4 linked regions of the Schizosaccharomyces pombe genome follow. The main gene of each other region encodes a partner of the protein of the gene in region 2 in a complex. Each region holds a gene or a part of one and is shown on either strand. Other genes may lie near its edges. The genes, in order: alp13, cph1, cph2 and pst2. A codon is read from its position in the direction of its gene.

Region 1 (3,729 bases), 790 kb from region 2:
CCAAAATTCCCTCTTCCACCTGACGTTCTATAGTAGAACCTGGGGCAATTAAACTAGAGCTAGTTACAAGGTATAAAGAATAGTCAATTTGACGTTTCATGTTTGGTATAAAAGTTCTTATATAGAAGTCAAGTAAGTAAACAAAATCCTAGAAATGCCAGATTATGTTGCGGACACCAAAAATTTGACAGTTCAATCTTTCTATGCTAAGAAAAATGAAAATTGAATATTATCCTAATTTAATCAAGAATTTGGCGAAAGTGTTACAAACTATGTTTGCAAATTTTGCTCCATCTTTTATACTGTGTTAGTCATGGTTCGGATGCGTGCTACGACAAGTTAGTGATAACTGATTTTAATCACTCTATTAAAATGTAGTTTGTCAAATGGAACAAATACTGCATGCTTTTGAAGAAAATATATTCGCATTACTTTGAACAGGTTTTAATGAAATGAGTTTATAAAGGAACAGATATATCTTATTAAAAAGGTGCAGAATAACGTTATATTTAATTATTAAAAAGAAAAAAAAATTCATTCATTGTAATAAATACCCGTTAAAGCTATATTATTGAATAAATATGGAACAGCTTAACGTTTGAAGGTCCTAGTCTAATTCTTCTATTGCAGAAGGTGCTGCCTTTTCTAAACTTTCAATTAAAGATTCTACAAGATGAATTGACTCGTCAACGTTTGGCTCTTTTGACCATTGAAAATCGCTAAGGGATGCAATCTGACTAGAAAGAAATTATTAGCAAGCTAAATAAAGCTCAATTAAAACAACCCAAATTCCTAATCAACCTCATACCTATTCATTTTAAGAGTCAATTGTGTGCAGCGCTCTTTTTCCTCATTTAATTTTGTATAAGCAGATTGCACAGCTTCAGAAAGCCGCTCATTGATTTCACTTATGTCCAGCGGTTTTGCACTATGTGATGTGTAAAATTCTTCTACATCGTGCAATGTAGAGGCATGACTGACCGTTTGCAGTTTCTCAACATTTGTTGCCAACATCCTATCTATTCTGCTTTTGCCGATAACTTGACTCTCGAGATGGATGTTAGCTCTCAATTTTGCTAATCGCTTTTGTCTTTGTTGTGTACAGTATTCGTATAAACGCTCAATCAGTGGGTCTTCTCTGTATCTCTGAGGAAACAGTTGCCGCCATTGTTCTAAGCTTATAATAGACTGCAACCGCCCTTGAGAAAGAAGATAATCATTAAGTATTTGTTCCTCCATATTCATGAGCAACCTTTGAGATATTAGTAAATTGAATAAATGAAACGCAGCATTTGATGAAAACTCATGTAGAAAAGCTAATTTTTCCTAAAGTATCCTTTTGACTAAAGCATTTTTTATAATGCGTATTGGGACGTATTTGCTGAACATAATGAAAGTTTATTTTTAATTTATCATTAAAAATCCTAAAACAGTAACTTACTGATAGCACTTTCTCCAAGCATTTTGCAGATGAATGAATTTGTTGCTTAGATAGTATCCTGTTACACCCACCGTTTGTTAATGGGTCTAGATAATTTTTAAAACAAAATAGCTAACTCCTTCAAAGTAGGATAAATTTGCTAAGTGTACTGTTTTGGCACACGTCCTCTTACTTCTAACTCACCACCATACCTACAACGTTGTTGGAATGGCCGTGTCATATAAGGTGAATGAACGTGTACTATGCTTTCACGGCCCGTTACTCTATGAGGCTAAAATTGTTGATACTGAAATGAAAGGTGATGTTACCACGTACCTGATTCATTATAAAGGATGGAAAAACAGTTGGGATGAATGGGTTGAACAAGATAGGATACTACAATGGACAGAAGAAAATTTAAAGACTCAGAAAGAGTTAAAAAATGCCGCTATCTCTACGAGACAAAAACCGACTTCTAAAAAGTCCGCATCCAGCACTTCGAAACATGACTCAACTGGAGTTAAAACATCAGGAAAGAGGTCTCGAGAATCGAGCACCGTAACGGTTGATGGCGATTCACATGAATTGCCTTCACGTATAAAAACCCAAAAATCAGAGTCTCCAATTCCTCAACAAGTGAAACGCGATGGAACAACCGATGCTAAAAACGAGGAAACTACTAAGCCCGAGAATAACGAGAAAGACGATTTTGAGGAAGAGCCACCGCTTCCAAAACACAAGATTAGTGTCCCGGACGTTCTAAAGCTATGGCTTGTTGATGACTGGGAAAACATTACCAAAAATCAACAGTTAATAGCTATACCGCGGAATCCCACCGTCCGGGCTGCTATAGCGGCCTTCCGAGAATCCAAGATTTCTCATTTGAACAATGAAATAGACGTTGATGTTTTTGAACAAGCGATGGCTGGTTTGGTTATATACTTTAATAAGTGCTTGGGCAATATGCTGCTGTATCGGTTTGAACGGCAGCAATATTTAGAAATTCGGCAGCAATATCCTGATACTGAAATGTGTGATTTATATGGCGTCGAACATTTAATTCGCTTGTTTGTAAGCCTTCCTGAATTGATTGACCGGACTAATATGGATTCACAATCCATCGAGTGTTTGTTGAATTACATTGAAGAATTCTTGAAGTATGTTTACTGCTTTTAAACTCCCCTACTATACTAACCATTTATTTAGGTATCTCGTTCTACATAAAGATGAATATTTTATTAAAGAATATCAAAACGCCCCTCCAAACTATAGATCTTTGGTTGGTGTATAAAATTATGATCGTTTGCATCTATCCCAAAGATAACTAAAACGGTAATCTAAAATATATACGTTTTCTTTTTGAGATATAATACACTATTATCTATAGAATGCAGTAGGACCAACATAAGGCATTCAGAGAATTCATGCAATTATTATGTTGTTCCTTAATATTCAGATATTAATCATTTTGCTCTTCAAAGAGACAATTTGCTTCTGCAAATTGCCAATTGGAGTATCAAATTCTAAAGATCCAGAAATTTGACTTCCAAACTGATAAAGTTCTGCATTTACGACACCTTTCATTGCCTGGATGCTCAGGTCTAACGAACTTTCTGCCGGGATACACTGCTGCTCCTGTTCAGTTATATTGGCAACTCTTCTCAATTTTTCTTTAATACAACTCCATTTTTCTATTGTTTTTAAAATTTTTTTATCGTCAACCCGATGTTGTAATGTATCAGTCCGCTTATTGAATCCATCCATAAAATTGTAATAAAGCTTTATGAGTGCCCGTCTAAGGGCCAATGTGTATAACCATTGAGGACGTATGTAATACTAGAATTTGGTGAGTTGGACGTAAATAAGAACCAGTAAATATAAAAACTAACCACAACTTGCTAAGAATGTGTACTTACTTTTGTAATAACGAAAGTCGAGAGACCACTGATAGAAAAAGTATATAATATGTAAATTAAGAAGGACAATAAGCTGGACGAAACTTGTATATTATCTGGAAAAGCTTTAACAGGCGGATTTTCTTTAGGAAGCAAAGGACTTTTGCTTTGAACAGCACTGTTCGAACTCATTTTTAGAATGATCGAAAATTTTGCACTAGTGAAAATATGGATATCAAACCAGTTGAAGAAGAAAATGATAAGCGTAAAAAAGATGGTTAAGCATATAGTGTTGCGGAATAAGTAGTTTGATTGTTCGAAATTAATACGAAGCAGTAAAAAGCAACTTTGCAAAATTAACAGAACAAATGAAATGAATAAGTTTGTTATATCTAACGGATTGTTATTAAAATG
Region 2 (3,992 bases):
CGGTTCTGCCATGTTACCTTCGTTTTCTAATCTTCCGAACTTATACTCTTCCTCGTATCTTGAAGAATGGAATGTCTTTGCTCAATACAAACGAAGAGAAAGCAACGCTACCGACTTTGAAGACTTTAGAAGTCAGGTTGGTGATGATGAAAGCAAGTTCGACGAACCTACTAGGTTCTAGTTAATAAGTATTTGCTTACTTGTAATTACGAATGCCAACATATCTTTTATTTGTTGATATTTTTGGTGTTCAAGTTTTATGGACCGTTTGGTCTGTAAGCGTTTTAAACCATTGATATGGCTGTTAAATAGACTTTAGTAATAGAACCTTTCCTTATCACTTTCTTTTATTTTATTCCTCTTTGTCTAGTAAATGCATCTTACTCATATATACTTATATATACTTATATATACTTATATATACTCACACGGTACAATACGCGTATAAAATTTAAGTATTGAGAAGTTGTTAGTATAAAATAGAACTTTTGCCCTATTAGGAAGGATTTGCAATGATTAATTGCATAACGAAAATTTTTTAAAAGCCTTAATGGAGAAAAGTAATGTAAAATAAGCCAATTACAACAGATAGCCAGTTCTAAGAGGTTTTATAAATACAACATTAGCAAAAAAATAACAGAAAACAACCTTTTCTGACGATTTGAACACGACAGATTAGATTAACGTAGTCTGATTTTATACAAAATGTAAAAATATCGTAAAAATTCAAGTGCGTGCCTTATTGAATAAAGTGCGTAGTGCAATAGGTAGGTTTGGGTGCGTTCTCGCAGGAAGTAGTGCGCTTTTTACGTCTGGAGGAATAACCTCTAACTCTCGTTTTTTCCTTTCATTATTAAACTTTTTAGCTTCTATGCCAATCGCGTACAAAAAATCTTTGATGAGACCGTCTTCTGAAACTTTGTAGAGACAACTCACGGGTAATCTTGGGAAATAGAGAAGTTCATCACTTGGAAACTCTCCCATAAGAAATTGCCATCCTGAAATCATGACTTTAGGATTAAGAGTATTAGAAGTTGTATCCAACACCAAGGGCGTCCTTATCACCACGGCGTTTTTTGGTACTCTCATACCTTTTTTTCCAATGGAGTCATGAGAGCATTTTTTAGCATGCTCTTTACAATTTTTATGATAGAAGGTGTCACACAGCTGGCAACCATAGACCCAACAAGCACCCATTGATGGCTTAGAGCAATAACCACAGTAAGCTAGATTAGTGATAGAGGAGCCAGTCGGCAAAGCAGAAAACTCGTCAGTATCCATTTCTCCTTCAGTTTCCTTATAAGCACCTGTATCCCCACGAGATATTCCATGGAAATAATGCACAAGGTCGTCGGGCAATCGGTACTGCGAGGGATTCTGAGAATCAATCCAATCGTAAAGCTGGGACCATATACTAAGAGGGTGCTTAGGAGGGTGATGCGATTTGATTGAGCAAGTCACACAAAACCAAGATCCTTCTGGAATATTTTCAGGAGTCAAGGGAGGTTCCAAGCATGAAAGATGGAAACTGCAAGGACATCCCTCGCAACAAATAAAAAGACCTCTTCCTCCGCATGCACTACAATAGTCGACGTTGCGTATAGTCGCTTTTCGTCTCCGTCGCTTTACAGGAGTTTGTTGAGATTCGGTTTCGAGATGACTTTTTAGGGAACTACCCCGGCTTTTTTGAATAGGTGCTTTATTTGGAGATTTATTCGAATAACTAGCTTTTTGTTTTTTCACTGGAGAACTTATATCCATCTCTTTGTCTTGGCTAATTGGCAAGACATTTACATGGTCAGTTGAAGAGTGAGTTGATGATGTTAAAGAATTATTTTTAAAATTAGAAGGGGGACCTTCATTTACGAAAGAGTCGCCATGACTATTATTAGAAATTGAAGGTACTGTAGGTTGAGATGAATTGTTTATAGAGGATGCCATTAGATACTTCCCATGCTATGAGCAAAGCAACATGTAATACGCGACGGTTAGCACTTAGAAATATCAATACTATCCTTAATGTTTTAAGGAATATTAAAGGTAAAATTAATGGTTATCGTAAAAAAGAACAATGGTCGAGGTTGTAAGTATATTATAGTGAAGCAACGCTGTTATGAAGATGCTAAGTTACAACAAGTCTTTGAACGCCAAACGTCGTTGCAATTAGACTTAGAAAACTACTTAAAGATATCTGATTTTCGAGAGGAGCATTTAGTATAAATGATTATCATAAGAATAAATTCCCTTCTATATGTAAAATATTTGAACATTTTGTTAAAAACTATTATCCATTTGATGGAACATGGAGCGTAAATTAAGTAGAGAAGCACTTTATGCCTCTTATTATGTTGTTCATCGTTTTTTCGTCAATTCAATATATTCACTAATTACTTAGAAGATGAAATAACTAAAGAATTTGACCACAACGTGAAAAAGTTGTATATATAATACATTCGTTTACAAACGTTTACTGCAATTAATTATCAAGATGAAATTATAGACGGTGAAACTTTTAAGGGTACTTTTTGTTGTTCAAACACAATTCCAAAAACCTTTGGAATAAGAATTTTCTCAAATTTCTTAATTCATGTCTATTAATTGCTATTTTTCGTGTGGTATATACTGTTCAAATCCAACCTCTCACCTAGTCATTGCCTCCTTCTTTTACACTAAGTTGTAAGTAAACTTATAACCAACCACAACTCGGTTTGCCCTTTAAAAAATATTTGTTTGAAGTCTAATGAATATTAAGGGAATTAACTAAATTAAATTAAAATCAAAGATTTGATTTAAGATATTTGAAGACTTCCTCTGTATTGTATAACGAGCGACCTTAAACAGTATCGATTTGGAGAGCACTGTGACGGAGATTTGACATATTTCACACAAAATGTTAAAAACGCAAGAGATATATTCTTCAGAAGATGAGGATGACATGTGTTGGTATGTTTTACTAGCCGATTAGTATCAAAATTAACTGACAATTGCAACAGTCCTCTATGTATGGAAGAAATTGATATCTCTGATAAAAACTTCAAACCATGCCAATGCGGATACAGAGTTTGTAGATTTTGCTGGCACCATATCAAAGAAGATCTAAATGGCCGTTGTCCTGCATGTCGCCGTCTGTACACTGAAGAAAATGTTCAATGGCGGCCTGTCACGGCAGAGGAGTATGTAATTCAGATTATAGAATTCTTGTTTAAGCATAATCTTGTTTAAATTCACTTTTATTTTTAAACATGTCGCTAATGTTTTTAGATGGAAGATGGACTTACATCGAAAAAACGAGAGGAAGAAACGCGAGAAAGAGAGGAAGGAAGTCGAGCTTTCAAACAGGAAGCATCTTGCAAATATTCGTGTTGTACAAAAGAACCTTGCCTATGTAAACGGCCTTTCTCCCAAAGTTGCAAATGAGGAGAATATCAACGTTCTGAAGGGACCTGAATACTTTGGTCAATACGGAAAGATTATTAAAATTGCAATAAATAAGAAGGCTGCTGCAAATTCTGCAAATGGTCATGTTGGAGTTTATATTACATACCAAAGAAAAGAAGATGCTGCACGAGCGATTGCTGCAATTGATGGCAGCGTAAGTGATGGGCGACATCTTCGCGCATCTTATGGTACCACTAAATATTGCACTTCTTATTTACGGAATCAGCAATGCCCCAATCCTTCTTGCATGTATTTACATGAACCCGGTGACGAGGTGGATAGTTATACTAAAGAAGACTTGGCATCTCTTCAACATACCCGTCCTCTTTCCACTAAACCTAATGTGGTAAATGGTGCTACTCATTCTCCTTCTCCTTCTCTTCCATTCAAAACACCTCTACTTCCTGTTACGAAAACACCGTTAGAAGAGGCTAATAGTAGTCCAGCTGCACAAAATCAGCATATTACAACAGTTGATCATGTTCATCCACAAGTGTCAATGACACCTTCCTTATCCACTAATAACACTGCTACCAGCGTTCCTGCCCCTTATT
Region 3 (4,684 bases), 250 kb from region 2:
AGGGAACAAAAAACGTATTGCCTATTAATTGACCTTGTAATAAATTTCGAGGTTACCCAATTCTTAGAACAAACTAATATGGAAAATAAAAACAAGCTAAAGGCACAATAAAGCATCTACTAAGTTACAAAGCAATGATAGACATGATGATGAAACCGACATGTTTTAAGGTAATTTTATTTTAGAGCAATGCAACTTTTCCTTATGTGCTAATAATGACACATTAAAAGGAATAAAAAAAATGTTAATAATACGTAAGCAAACTACTTTTGAAATTACACTATCATACAGTTTCTTTATTATTTCTGTGCTATTGTTTAAGTACTATTGCAAATCGCTTTGCATTCTATCCAGTTTATCGCAATCATTTGCTTGTAATTCAACTTATCCCAAAGAATTCTTTAGTTGTATCAACAGTTCTACGGTGAAACTAATAATTCAATATACAAAAATACTACACGTTAAAGCATTCAAATAAGAATAATTAAACGTGATAAAATTTGGCTTATTTCTGTACTCCATTTTGTAACGTAACTTTTCTTAATTTTGCAGTTCAACTATAAGTTAAAGTATTTGTTGCACAGCATAATTGCATATACAACTTAATTAAATTTACAATTAAGGAAAAATGCCTGCACCTTTCCCAAGGAGACTTTTTGAATACCACACTTCGATCACAATTCACTAATTGGAAGCACCTTCGCAATACCAAAAATAAAGAAAAAAAATAAAACCATTCATATATGAAATCGTATCATTCATGGTTAGATAGGCATAAATATTAAGACATTTCAACGTCGAAGACACCGCACTTGAAAGAATCGAGGTGCTATGCTATCTTTCAATAGCTTAATAAGTTAGCCAAATCAAAAGGTGCAGGAACGGGTTGATTAGGATCCCATTTAGAAATTCTCAAAAGATCCCTTAAAGCCAAAACATAATCATCATTTTCTAAGTTGTCATTGGCAACATCGCAAAGGATTCGCAAAGGCAATTCACAATCACGGGTTGCATAAAAGTCAAATTTGGAAAAGGTTTCAATACATAGTTGTTCATCCTGCTCAACCATTTTACGTAAATTAATAACGTTATCACGTATTTGTTCTAAAAAGTTCAACTTAAACGGTTTACTAGGTACCACACGTATTTTTCCCTGTAGTTGTATTGTTTGCACAGATGGTTCATCCTCATTTTCATCAATAACTATATTTCCTTTATTTTTGAAACCACGAGGTAAACCGACACGAATAACCTTTGCTTTTTCAGGTAACCTATACCGAGGCGTGACATGATCGCTATGGTTAGGACATTTCCACTTCCGGAGATTCGAAGGCAAAGTTGCGAGTGGAGGATTTAAACAATCGGGATGCCAGTAGGAGTTACAATAATCGCAAGCTAGTATACTCTGAGAGACCAGAGCCGATTTATGACAACGAAAACATAAAATGGGAGTACCACTTTTACTCTTCAAAAGCAAAGGATCACGTTCTTCTCCATTGCTTCTTCGGCTAGATTTAAGATGCTTCAAAACATCCGTCTCGATATATTCACCCATCACTCCACTTCCGACACCTCTAAAAAAGCTGCTAATTGAATGAGGAAGATGAAACTGAATAGGATTGTGAGAATCAATATATGTACAAAGTTGCATCCACACATCAACCATCGTTCCTTCTTCTTTGACATTACTTTCCAATTCTTCTTGCTCATCCAATTCATTGTACAAGCTATGGTGTTTACATTCATTGCAATACCAAGCGTCATCTGGTAAATTTTTTTCTTCGATAGGCGGATCTATACAAGTAAAATGAAAACTATTCGGGCATGTTTCACAACACAAAAAATTGCCTGGACCATGACATGCGGAGCAGTAATCATTGTTATATCTGTATGGATATTCTTCAGGGGTAGGAAGTAATTCATTGCTACTAATGTCTTCGGCCCGGCCCTCCATGTCGTTAAAATTCTCTGATTCATTACCTAAATGTTTTTGGTTGGAATACACGGTAACATTTCGTGTAACATTATTCTCCGTTACGACCTCAGAGGTAGGAACAGGAATGTTAGCCTTGAAAGTTAGCTTCCCAGAAAAAAGAGGTTTGGAAGAGTTATTCGCTTTCTTCATCGATGAACTAGAGATATCAGATAAGTCTTTAGCCGTTGTTTTTAGAGACTTATTCTCTTTAAGGAGATTATTATTATTTCCTTTCTGGGGGTTGATTTTTCGTGATCTCTCTTGATCGGGTACTATAGGACGAAAGTCATCATCCAATGTATTCCAAGCCACAAATCCATCCTTAGTATCATAGGTTCTCCTAACTTTTCTTCTTAACTTAGTAATACTAGGTCCGTTGTTAGATGTATCATGATCACCTTTTTCTGCACCTTCACCATTCACATGCTTTCTCTTAACAGAAGGAGAATAATCTAAATCATCCTTGCTTCCATCGTCAGAGTTATCAACTGAGGCTCTACCATTAGAGTTGCCGTTTTGGGCCCTATTTCTTCTCGAGGTCGCTTTATTCGGTGAAGCGCTCCTGGAATTTATTGACCCATGCGAACTCTTTGCATTCCTTTCAGCACCGGCTTTTTGAATAATTTTAAGATCTTCCAAAATAGAAGCTTGAAAGGCTTCTGATGTATGATTCCATGGTTTTGCATCCATTGATGAAAACGTGGACGTCGTGTAGTGTGAACATACAATGAAGATTTATGCTAGCAAAGATGAATTTAACGAGAAACAAGGAAAGACTGCTATAAACCGAAAAGAAAGATTTGTTAGTTATTTTGTTTAAATATCAAAAATATTATAATTTCCAAAAACTGAAATGAAGGCTGTAAAGTAATTTGATTCATCGGTTACCCGTACATACTTTAAATTTAGCCACATGACTGAACATTAAGGATTAATAAGCCTTTGAATAATATACAGTGTATTTCCTCAAATTTAATAAATTAATCGTATTGAGGATAGAGTGCCTCATTTGTAACAGAAGCTATCAACTGAAAGAAACTGGTCCGTCGAGCTATCCATAACGTGAGTCAAATCTTGATTATGGTCTTTGATAAAGATTCTTCCAAAATTGTATTAAGTATTTCTATCCAAAACCGTATTCATTCTCACCTCCTTTTTTTGTTGATGCGAGCTTGACAACAAGTGGATATGGAAATTGCCAAACGTGAATCCTGGGCCGGCTGTAAAATACTCATTAATGCAATCATGACAACATATTCTCACAGTCATCCTTTCAGCAGGATTTAAAGCAGGTTTTACGATAACATTAAATCGATCATTCGGAAATTTTGCAAATGTCTCTATAACACATCGTTTAACCCAGGAAGGGGTAAAATCAGGTAAATTTAACTTTTGCATATGAACCAAAGCGGATTCAGAAGAATTGCTGTTAGTAAGAAACGCGTCAGAAGAAAGGCTAGGAGACGAAAATTGTGGTAATGGCGAAATATTTTGCCCATATGTAGAAGGTGTGTTCCTTTCACTTTCAAATTCGTTTAGTGAGTCAAAACTCATGGAATTGGGCAAGGGAGTGAGTTTCCGTTGTTGGAAGTTATTGAGGGTTAAGGTTTGTGATTGTTCAACGATTATTTTTAGTTTCTGAGAGTCAACTTTTAGACGCACAATTAAATGTTCTCTTTCAGGATTATTAGTATTAATTTCGTTAAGTGTCTCGCCATCAGAATTTGTAGATAAACTTAAAGCATGCATAAAGTCATCATCCGAGGGGACCGATGAACTGGGGAAGAGACTTCGATGTATTTTAGGAATGTCCCGAAGATCTGGTAACATAATCCCGTGTTTTGCCCTTCCTTGTCTACGCCGCATACGACGTGCTTCCCTATCATAACCTCTATCCTGCCGTTCCATTTCAGCATCGTTTAGCTCGTAAATCATTGGGGCAAAGGAGGAGGATTCCATGTCAGAGAACCGTAGTGTGTTTTTAAGAGGAGGTAAAATGTAAGAGCGAACTTCCTCGTCTTCGATTTCACTTCCGTCAAACAAATATCCTATAAGGCTTAAATATTTTATGTACATTTGGCACTGCTCACGAATTGAGTGAGCTACAGCTGTACAAAATTCTCCTGACAATCCTAGATCTAAGCACATCACAGTAGCAAATTCCTCAGCGCTGCTTTCAGGAGCAAACAAATTCCATTCAAATTGGTCAATAAGATTCAGCCGACCAATGGTAATATCAAGCTTGATCAATATCCTCAAATCGTTTTGTACAGTTGGAATTTGTTGCTTGGAAGCTTTAGCCAACGAATCTGACGGTTCGTGCGCATAAACAGTCTCTGAGGTAGACGAACTAACATCTGAAACAAAACTTAAATTAGACTGAGCCTTACGCGGCTCATAGTCATTTATTTGAGCTTGAATACTCTTTGAAATATTTTGAACAATATGTACATTATGCAGTGGAATATCATAATCAATGCAGATCTGTTCAGCAAATTGATCTAATGAAATACACTTGTCGTACAAATTCCACGTAAAGGAGTCTCTTAATTTGTAGCGATCAGCATCTATTTCAAGTCTAATAGGCACCAAATCAACCGGAAGTTTAGATTGGGCTAAATTACTTCTTCGACTGAAAGGGAAAGTAAATCGACCCTTAACCCTTCTTTTTTGCGATGGAAATAGTATTTTGGGTTTCAAAGCGGTCCA
Region 4 (6,144 bases), 1.4 Mb from region 2:
CCATTAAAGATTTATGTTCACAAAGCTCCAAAATTAAGTAAATATTCGTCGAATCTTCAAAACAATCTATAAATCCTACGATGTTTGGATGACTCATGGATTGGTGCACCTTTATTTCTCCAAAGAGCTTCAGCTTTGTTTTATCATTTTGTAGTGACCTTTTAGCAATAACTTTAGCAGCGTAAATATTTCCATAATTATCTTTGACTCGAAAACATCTCGCAAAGCCGCCTTCACCAATGCAATCGTAGCGAGTGTAGAATATATTTTTTTTATTATTATGAAGATTAGTTGGCGGAGTAAAGCAAAGACGAGAGGCTTTGGACTTCTTCTTCGGGGTTATAGCAGTTTTGGGCTCTTTAATTGCAACACTCGCCATTTGGTATTTGTTTCTAACAAAACGCAGGTGGTAACTTTTGAGGGTAAACAAAGTGGTTGCTACGACAACCGCTTGTTTGTAAATAAAAATCTGTGCATTGTAATATTTTATGTAGTAATTACAGAAGTACGGCTTTAGAAAATTTAATACAAAGCTTATGTGCAAAAATTTCAGTAAATTCGTACTATACATAAATCCTTGAAATTATAAAATACCTAGAAAGATAAGTTATGTTAACAAAGTAATATAAAACTATTAAAGTCAAATTGTATTTAAGTAAATATGATCAATAGGTAGGTCGACTGCATTAAAATCATTATGGGATAAATAGTGCATTAATGTCAGCATCAAAATTCACCTCTGCCGTGTTGTCAGAAGTTCCCCTAACCGATTTTAATAACGATTCCCATCGATTTCTCCAACGCTGTTTTCTTTTATTCTGGCAATCAAGGAAGTCGGTATCTCTAAGGCGCAGGTAAGATGCATCTATGTAAGAATCTTCTGTGCGTGGTAAGTAGAGCAATTTAAACGAGTCTAAACATAATTTTGCTTGCAATCCGGAAACCAATTCTGCAGATCTTAATAACTTTGTTTGAAGGCGTGAAACCAATTGCTCAACTGTTCTTTCTTTCTCTATATTTCTGCAAAGAAAGGGACAACGATAATTTTTATAAGATATTTCTTCAGTAAGTTTTTGTATACGATAATTTTGAACATATTTTTTCCAAACTCGTCTCTGTGTATCCAAACTTTGATCCACAATAAGATTCGCTCGCTTCATTATTTTGATTCCAAATGATTTAAATTTGTTTATCCAACAAAATCGAAACAAAATTTCATCAGGATTCAAAAGCTTTTCAATTTCCAAGCGATAAAGAAAGTCATCATAATTCTTCTTAGGCGAAGCAGAACTATTTTGTTCGACTAAACTAGTAACGAATTTGTATTTTCCATCGGAAACGATGTGGTGGACTTGTTTAGCAGCAGACCAAACGAGTTTATCAATAGTATATATTTTATAGGCTTTATTGCCATAATAAAACCGCAGATAGTCCTCGAAGGCACTTTGATCAACTATCCCATATATTAATCGAAGAATCATCACATAAGTATTTTCGTAATGAGTTTTTTCATCAGGGACATCTGAAAGATCATTCCACCTATCGCGCCAAATCTTTTGTTTTTGAGATACTGGGTTTGGTATTATACGCTGTTGGATAATGGACACTTGATCCTCCAAACGCTGAAGCTCATAAAGCCTTTCGTATAATAAGTTAAAAAGTCTAAAAAATACGTACATAGAAGAATATCCAAACTGTTCTTTATCGACGTCGTCATGCATTTCATTCTCCGTATCACCAGCATGATCTTGATGTTCCAAAAGACTATCTGGATGACTTGGATATTTGAGACTGGCTTTAATGGCTGCAGCAGGTTGTGAAAGCTGTTTCTTAGAAACCGGCGTTACGTTTCCAGATTCATCACTTAAAGAGTTTTGAGAGTTAGATTGTGATTTGTTACCGGATTCTTCTTTTTTGCGAGCAGCTGCAGCTGAACGACTTTCGCGTTGACCATTGATTTTAGGTTGTTTTACAAATTCCGTCAACTGGGTTATAGAATTAGATCTTTTCCGACGTACAGGCTTGTTACCAACTATATTCGGGGCATTCACATCGTAATCAGGACCACGAAAAACTTGATCCAGGAATATCGAAAATTTATCCTTTTCAAGACCAAAATGTAAAGGCAATATATTCTTGAAAAAATGCTCAACTTTCTTTAAACCAGAGGGAGAGTTACATACAATGTATGTGCATACCATATAACAAGTATCAAAAAGTACTATTTCGTTGTCATATACAAAAGAAAATTCGAAAGCTGATCTACTTCGCAAAGGAAAATGGAGCTTCGCTTGCGATCGTAGAATGTCGGCTTCTGCTAAGAGAAACTTTGAAGATACATTCTTCTTATCTCTTGCCTTAAAATAAACGCATTGTGAATCTAAGCTCTTATCGTAATTTTTAAACTCAATACTTCGCCATCCAGGTTGAAGACTTCTTTTAACAGACTTCCACTCTTCGTTTTTTTCTTCTAATCTGCTGATTACCAATGGTAATGTGAGGCAAGGCATTCTTTCCAAGGCCTTAAACATTTCCTCTGCATGCTCACTGGTATAAACAAGCTTAATAGTTTTCTTGTATATACTTTTTGATGGTAAACCTAGCCCTTCCTCGAGAGTATATGTTTCTCTTTCCTCTTCCGGCAATTCATTTATACGGTTCTGAATTTTTTTAAGAGACTTGATTGTCCAGGAAGTAGCTTCAATATGCCGATCAAATTCATAACGTTCCTCTTCCAACTTTGTCATTGCCTCTTCATAAGGCGTTTTCCTCTGAACAATGAAACCGCTTTCTTCAGATGCCCAAGTTGGATGACTGACCCAGTCATCATTAAGTATACCCCATGCAAAATCATCTCTACCGCTGCAAGAAATATTGCGTTCTTCGACAGGAAGCAATCGGTAACTCGGGCCACATTCCGGGAAGTCTGAGCAAGCGGAATTGTATACAGATAAAAACTCTTCCGGACTCAAACTAGTAAGGCTTAAAAAGCTTCTCCAAAGTCCCGAATTCGATTTAAGAAACCCAAACCCACGACTCACCAGAATATTTCTATCAATTATCCCTTGAACGTACAAATTCAGGAGTTTTAAAAATTCGTGGTAAGTTTCTACATCGGTAAGTACATTTTTCACATTTTTGAAAAAGTCACTGCTCTCATTTGATAAATGTGAAAATGGTGAGAGGTTGTCCGGCCTTGATTGACTAAGCAAATCAGAAATATTACTCAACGTAAATTGGGAACTCTGAATTCCTCTTAATGGAAACGATCCTAGAGGAGGTTTACTCCCAAAAAAGATGGAGCTTGGTAAAAAGTTGTGAAACTCGTGGGCTAAAGATGGATGCTCCGCTAGCAAAGACGTTACAATAGTCTGAAGCTCAGAAAGCGAACACTCAGAGTTTTTAAACTTACGAAGACTATCCTGTAATTTAAAGAACTGTTCGGGATTGCTCAATAATGCTCGTCGAACTCGTGAAACAAATCCTATAGCTCTATGATAGGTACAAGGTAAGTCGTTGTAAGTAGCTACATAAGTAGACGGTGTAGAAACTGGACCAGATGGGGTGGTAAATTGCAATGTGAAGTTGGCACCGCTATTCGATAAAAGGTATTTATAAGACGAGGGCAAAAAGATGTTCAAATATTCTAAAAGATCTGGGTAATCTCTTAAGATTACAGATATTCTTTCAATAAACCCGGGAAAATCGACACTAATGTTCATGTTAATAAGTGAATAGTAATAAAAAAAGAGCTATCTCAAAGCAACTCAGTAAATAAGCCATATATACATTTCATTGTGTAAAGCCTTCACAACATCCATGAAAGCGCTATAAACATAAGGACGATGACACAGTCTTTGACCCAACTTTTGAACGAATGCCTTTATATCAAGCTCGGGGAGTGCGGTACCATTAGGGGAAAAATCATGGACTAATTGATTCTGCATCTCGGCCACTAACGTTGAGTTGTCTAACAACATTGGTTAAAATGAGTTATGTATTAAATTGATACGTACCATTTTTTAATATCGCTAGTGTTTGTTCCATGTATTTTGATCTTTAACCATCAAATGACTAGGAATACGATCTCGTTTATTTTGGAGGTGATGATTTGGGAAACGGCAAATGCAACTAAGCGCACAAACTCGTCAACGCATTACATGAACTGACGCTGATAGCCAAAGTTCAAATGATTTATCAAGACATGAACACAAATACCACATTGGATGGTGTTTTACACTTACAACGAATACTTTAGAAAAAATACTAACGAGAAGAATCAAACCCAATATAATTGTTAAAAAATATTCCTTTTAAATAATTAAACACTACATCTAAACATTATTTTCTAAGAATAATAGAGATTTAATAAAACCGAAACTATGCATCGTCTTCATCAAGAATAAGAAATCGAAAACTATCTACTTTCAAAGTTAAGTTGTCGACTACTTTACTTAAGTGCATTCGCAAAACAAACAACCAAGATGGTGAAATAAAGTTTTTAAATACGAACAGGAATGGCAGAAGAAATTACGCTTTAAAAATGAAACAAAGTAAACATTCAATATAAAATTTTACCTCAAGAATAAATCAAAAGATGTGACACAATAGATTAACCACGTTAAATTTATAATGTTCGCAAACTAAGACGAGGAACCTTGGTCACATAAAAGCGGATGATTGGCGAATTCTGGTTGAATGGTAACATCATATATACCAAAAGATTGAAGGACATTACGGATATCCGTAGTAAGCTTTGTATAAGACTCTCCCTTATCATCAGGAAGTGTAACGCAGACATGAACAGTGGCAATTAATTTAACGTCCGAAAGCTGCCAGATGTGGAGTTCATGAACAGATTCCACGCCGTCTAGATGATTAATTAGGTTGGAAACATCATCCAGTTTGATGCTTTGAGGAGCAACTTGTAATAAGATGAGAGCAGCGGATTTACAGAGAGGAATTGCGCTAAAAAGAATAATGAAAGTAAGAAGGATACTAATGCATGGGTCAAAGAGGAAACGCCAAGAATAGTCAGTATACTTGATGAATAAAGCAGCACTAATAACACCAATATTACCGAGAGCATCACCCAAGACATGAAGAAAGACACCATGCATATTCAAATTTCGTTTCTTCGTTTGTTTTGGTGCATCTTGTTCAATACTGCCATGGTTGTTGACTGGCTTTGAAGTACCAGCACCATTATGATTACCAGTGTAACTCAATAAAGGAGAAGATTCGGTAGCAGAGTCTGCGACTTGAGTGTGTGTATGGCTGACTTCTTGTTGACTGGTATTACAACGATGAACGATAGTCGAAGGTAAAACGGATTCAATATCATCTTCTTCAGGAAAATCGTAATTTTGAGCGGTATGGGTGTGAGGATGATCATGACCATGGTCATGAAATAAAAAGATACCAACGAAATTGCTTAGCAGACCTAAAGAACCAACAAAGAACATAAGGGTGGGATTGCTGACAGAAGGAGGCTCAATGAAGCGCTCTATGGCTTCCATAAAAATGAACATGCAAAGGGCAATGAGAAATACACCGTTCGACAAAGCACCTAAAATCTCTGCACGTTGCCAGCCATATGTGTATTTTGGTTCGTGAGATGTTGAATGTGCTAGACGAGTAGCCCAGAGAGCGACCAGTAAACTGACAATGTCATTTAACATATGAAATGAATCAGCAATTAGGGCAAGTGAATCGATCGCATAACCAGTAATAATTTCGATGAAGAAAAAAGTAACATCAATACCTAATAAAAGGATAATCCGAGTTTGTCTTGCGAGGTCGAACATAGTTTGAAAACGAAAAGTCACCAATTTCAAAAAAATGGTAAGGGTTGAATTTCACAGGGAGAAAAAGGAATAAGGTAAATTTAGAATGAAAGGTGGCTTTTTAAAAATGAATTTAAATAAAAGAGGCGCAAACTTGCTATATTTAACAAAAAAAAAAGCCAAAATAAGACGAAGATGCGAGAGGGTTTAAGAAAATCTAAAGAATCAAATATCTGTAATTTTGCTTTCCTTGTTTTTACAGAATAAATTAATTAAACCAATAAACCTTCAAAAAACTGCCAAAACTGCCGTTTTTGATAGTAAATTAAAAAGGAGGCTTTTGAGAAGTAAGCGGTGA

What was found.
Region 1: the proteins of cph1 (region 2) and alp13 are in contact, whole or in part, in a cryo-EM structure (PDB 8I02), measured with the Schizosaccharomyces pombe proteins. Residues at the interface, in NP_593079.1 of Schizosaccharomyces pombe: Cys123 (codon at 1,575), His140 (codon at 1,524), Ser142 (codon at 1,518), Cys143 (codon at 1,515), Leu144 (codon at 1,512), Glu145 (codon at 1,509), Pro147 (codon at 1,503), Leu148 (codon at 1,500), Thr149 (codon at 1,497), Glu151 (codon at 1,491), His173 (codon at 1,425), Ile177 (codon at 1,413), Trp178 (codon at 1,410), Gln180 (codon at 1,404), Leu181 (codon at 1,401), Tyr182 (codon at 1,398), Trp184 (codon at 1,392), Ile185 (codon at 1,389), Asn189 (codon at 1,377), Pro190 (codon at 1,374), Ser191 (codon at 1,371), Gln192 (codon at 1,368), Tyr193 (codon at 1,365), Leu195 (codon at 1,359), Pro196 (codon at 1,356), Leu199 (codon at 1,347), Val200 (codon at 1,344), Phe203 (codon at 1,335), Ile206 (codon at 1,326), Ser207 (codon at 1,323); in NP_593394.1 of Schizosaccharomyces pombe: Leu180 (codon at 2,186), Leu182 (codon at 2,192), Val183 (codon at 2,195), Trp186 (codon at 2,204), Glu187 (codon at 2,207), Thr190 (codon at 2,216), Lys191 (codon at 2,219), Asn221 (codon at 2,309), Glu222 (codon at 2,312), Ile223 (codon at 2,315), Val227 (codon at 2,327), Gln230 (codon at 2,336), Ala231 (codon at 2,339), Gly234 (codon at 2,348), Leu235 (codon at 2,351), Ile237 (codon at 2,357), Tyr238 (codon at 2,360), Lys241 (codon at 2,369), Cys242 (codon at 2,372), Gly244 (codon at 2,378), Asn245 (codon at 2,381), Met246 (codon at 2,384), Leu247 (codon at 2,387), Leu248 (codon at 2,390), Tyr249 (codon at 2,393), Arg250 (codon at 2,396), Arg253 (codon at 2,405), Gln254 (codon at 2,408), Tyr256 (codon at 2,414), Leu257 (codon at 2,417).
Region 3: the proteins of cph1 (region 2) and cph2 are in contact, whole or in part, in a cryo-EM structure (PDB 8I02), measured with the Schizosaccharomyces pombe proteins. Residues at the interface, in NP_593079.1 of Schizosaccharomyces pombe: Leu175 (codon at 1,419), Ser176 (codon at 1,416), Ile177 (codon at 1,413), Gln180 (codon at 1,404), Leu334 (codon at 942), Val336 (codon at 936), Ser337 (codon at 933), Cys338 (codon at 930), Leu339 (codon at 927), Tyr340 (codon at 924), Lys341 (codon at 921), Val342 (codon at 918), Glu344 (codon at 912), Gly346 (codon at 906), Lys349 (codon at 897), Asp350 (codon at 894), Tyr353 (codon at 885), Lys379 (codon at 807), Ser380 (codon at 804), Ala381 (codon at 801), Leu382 (codon at 798), Leu383 (codon at 795), Pro384 (codon at 792), Ala385 (codon at 789), Arg386 (codon at 786), Leu391 (codon at 771), Pro392 (codon at 768), Leu395 (codon at 759), Arg396 (codon at 756), Leu398 (codon at 750); in NP_592978.1 of Schizosaccharomyces pombe: Tyr464 (codon at 1,276), Arg465 (codon at 1,273), Leu466 (codon at 1,270), Pro467 (codon at 1,267), Ala470 (codon at 1,258), Lys471 (codon at 1,255), Val472 (codon at 1,252), Ile473 (codon at 1,249), Arg474 (codon at 1,246), Val475 (codon at 1,243), Gly476 (codon at 1,240), Leu477 (codon at 1,237), Pro478 (codon at 1,234), Arg479 (codon at 1,231), Gly480 (codon at 1,228), Phe481 (codon at 1,225), Lys484 (codon at 1,216), Asn486 (codon at 1,210), Ile487 (codon at 1,207), Val488 (codon at 1,204), Ile489 (codon at 1,201), Asp490 (codon at 1,198), Asp569 (codon at 961), Leu571 (codon at 955), Glu572 (codon at 952), Asp574 (codon at 946), Val577 (codon at 937), Leu578 (codon at 934), Ala579 (codon at 931), Leu580 (codon at 928).
Region 4: the proteins of cph1 (region 2) and pst2 are in contact, whole or in part, in a cryo-EM structure (PDB 8IFG), measured with the Schizosaccharomyces pombe proteins. Residues at the interface, in NP_593079.1 of Schizosaccharomyces pombe: Glu344 (codon at 912), Leu347 (codon at 903), Ile348 (codon at 900), Asp350 (codon at 894), Phe351 (codon at 891), Leu352 (codon at 888), Ala354 (codon at 882), Ile355 (codon at 879), Glu358 (codon at 870), Ala359 (codon at 867), Phe362 (codon at 858), Asn363 (codon at 855); in NP_593646.1 of Schizosaccharomyces pombe: Ser257 (codon at 3,155), Phe261 (codon at 3,143), Lys265 (codon at 3,131), Tyr274 (codon at 3,104), Leu278 (codon at 3,092), Leu281 (codon at 3,083), Asn282 (codon at 3,080), Tyr284 (codon at 3,074), Val285 (codon at 3,071), Arg291 (codon at 3,053), Leu294 (codon at 3,044), Phe312 (codon at 2,990), Leu315 (codon at 2,981), Thr316 (codon at 2,978), Ser317 (codon at 2,975).

What each region holds. Positions count from the first base shown.
Region 1 is NC_003424.3:1,586,471-1,590,199, reverse strand, and holds alp13 (Clr6 histone deacetylase complex, chromodomain subunit Alp13/Eaf3), read left to right. Parts: upstream 1-1,622; 5' UTR 1,623-1,648; coding exon 1,649-2,577; intron 2,578-2,626; coding exon 2,627-2,711; 3' UTR 2,712-2,872; downstream 2,873-3,729. Other genes in the region: thi4 (bifunctional thiamine-phosphate dipyrophosphorylase/hydroxyethylthiazole kinase), read right to left, coding at 1-100; centromere localized protein Cnl2, read right to left, coding at 608-737, 809-1,245; SPOM_SPAC23H4.13C (uncharacterized protein), read right to left, coding at 2,873-3,256, 3,337-3,507; SPOM_SPAC23H4.21 (uncharacterized protein), read left to right, coding at 3,727-3,729.
Region 2 is NC_003424.3:797,499-801,490, reverse strand, and holds cph1 (Clr6 histone deacetylase-associated PHD protein-1 Cph1), read right to left. Parts: upstream 2,125-3,992; 5' UTR 1,942-2,124; coding exon 727-1,941; 3' UTR 510-726; downstream 1-509. Other genes in the region: ATP-dependent RNA helicase Upf1, read left to right, coding at 1-181; CCR4-Not complex subunit Mot2, read left to right, coding at 2,891-2,943, 2,994-3,173, 3,262-3,992.
Region 3 is NC_003424.3:543,576-548,259, forward strand, and holds cph2 (Clr6 histone deacetylase-associated PHD protein-2 Cph2), read right to left. Parts: upstream 2,685-4,684; 5' UTR 2,666-2,684; coding exon 842-2,665; 3' UTR 552-841; downstream 1-551. Other genes in the region: SWI/SNF complex subunit Snf5, read right to left, coding at 3,089-4,684.
Region 4 is NC_003424.3:2,158,475-2,164,618, reverse strand, and holds pst2 (Clr6 histone deacetylase complex subunit Pst2), read right to left. Parts: upstream 4,134-6,144; 5' UTR 4,048-4,133; coding exon 4,017-4,047; exon of another isoform or gene 3,971-4,016; coding exon 3,790-3,970; exon of another isoform or gene 3,712-3,789; coding exon 696-3,711; 3' UTR 541-695; downstream 1-540. Other genes in the region: Polo kinase Plo1, read right to left, coding at 1-379; ER zinc importer, CDF family, Zhf1, read right to left, coding at 4,644-5,807. UniProt on the Schizosaccharomyces pombe protein: Has a role in chromatin assembly and chromosome segregation. Involved in the deacetylation of histones.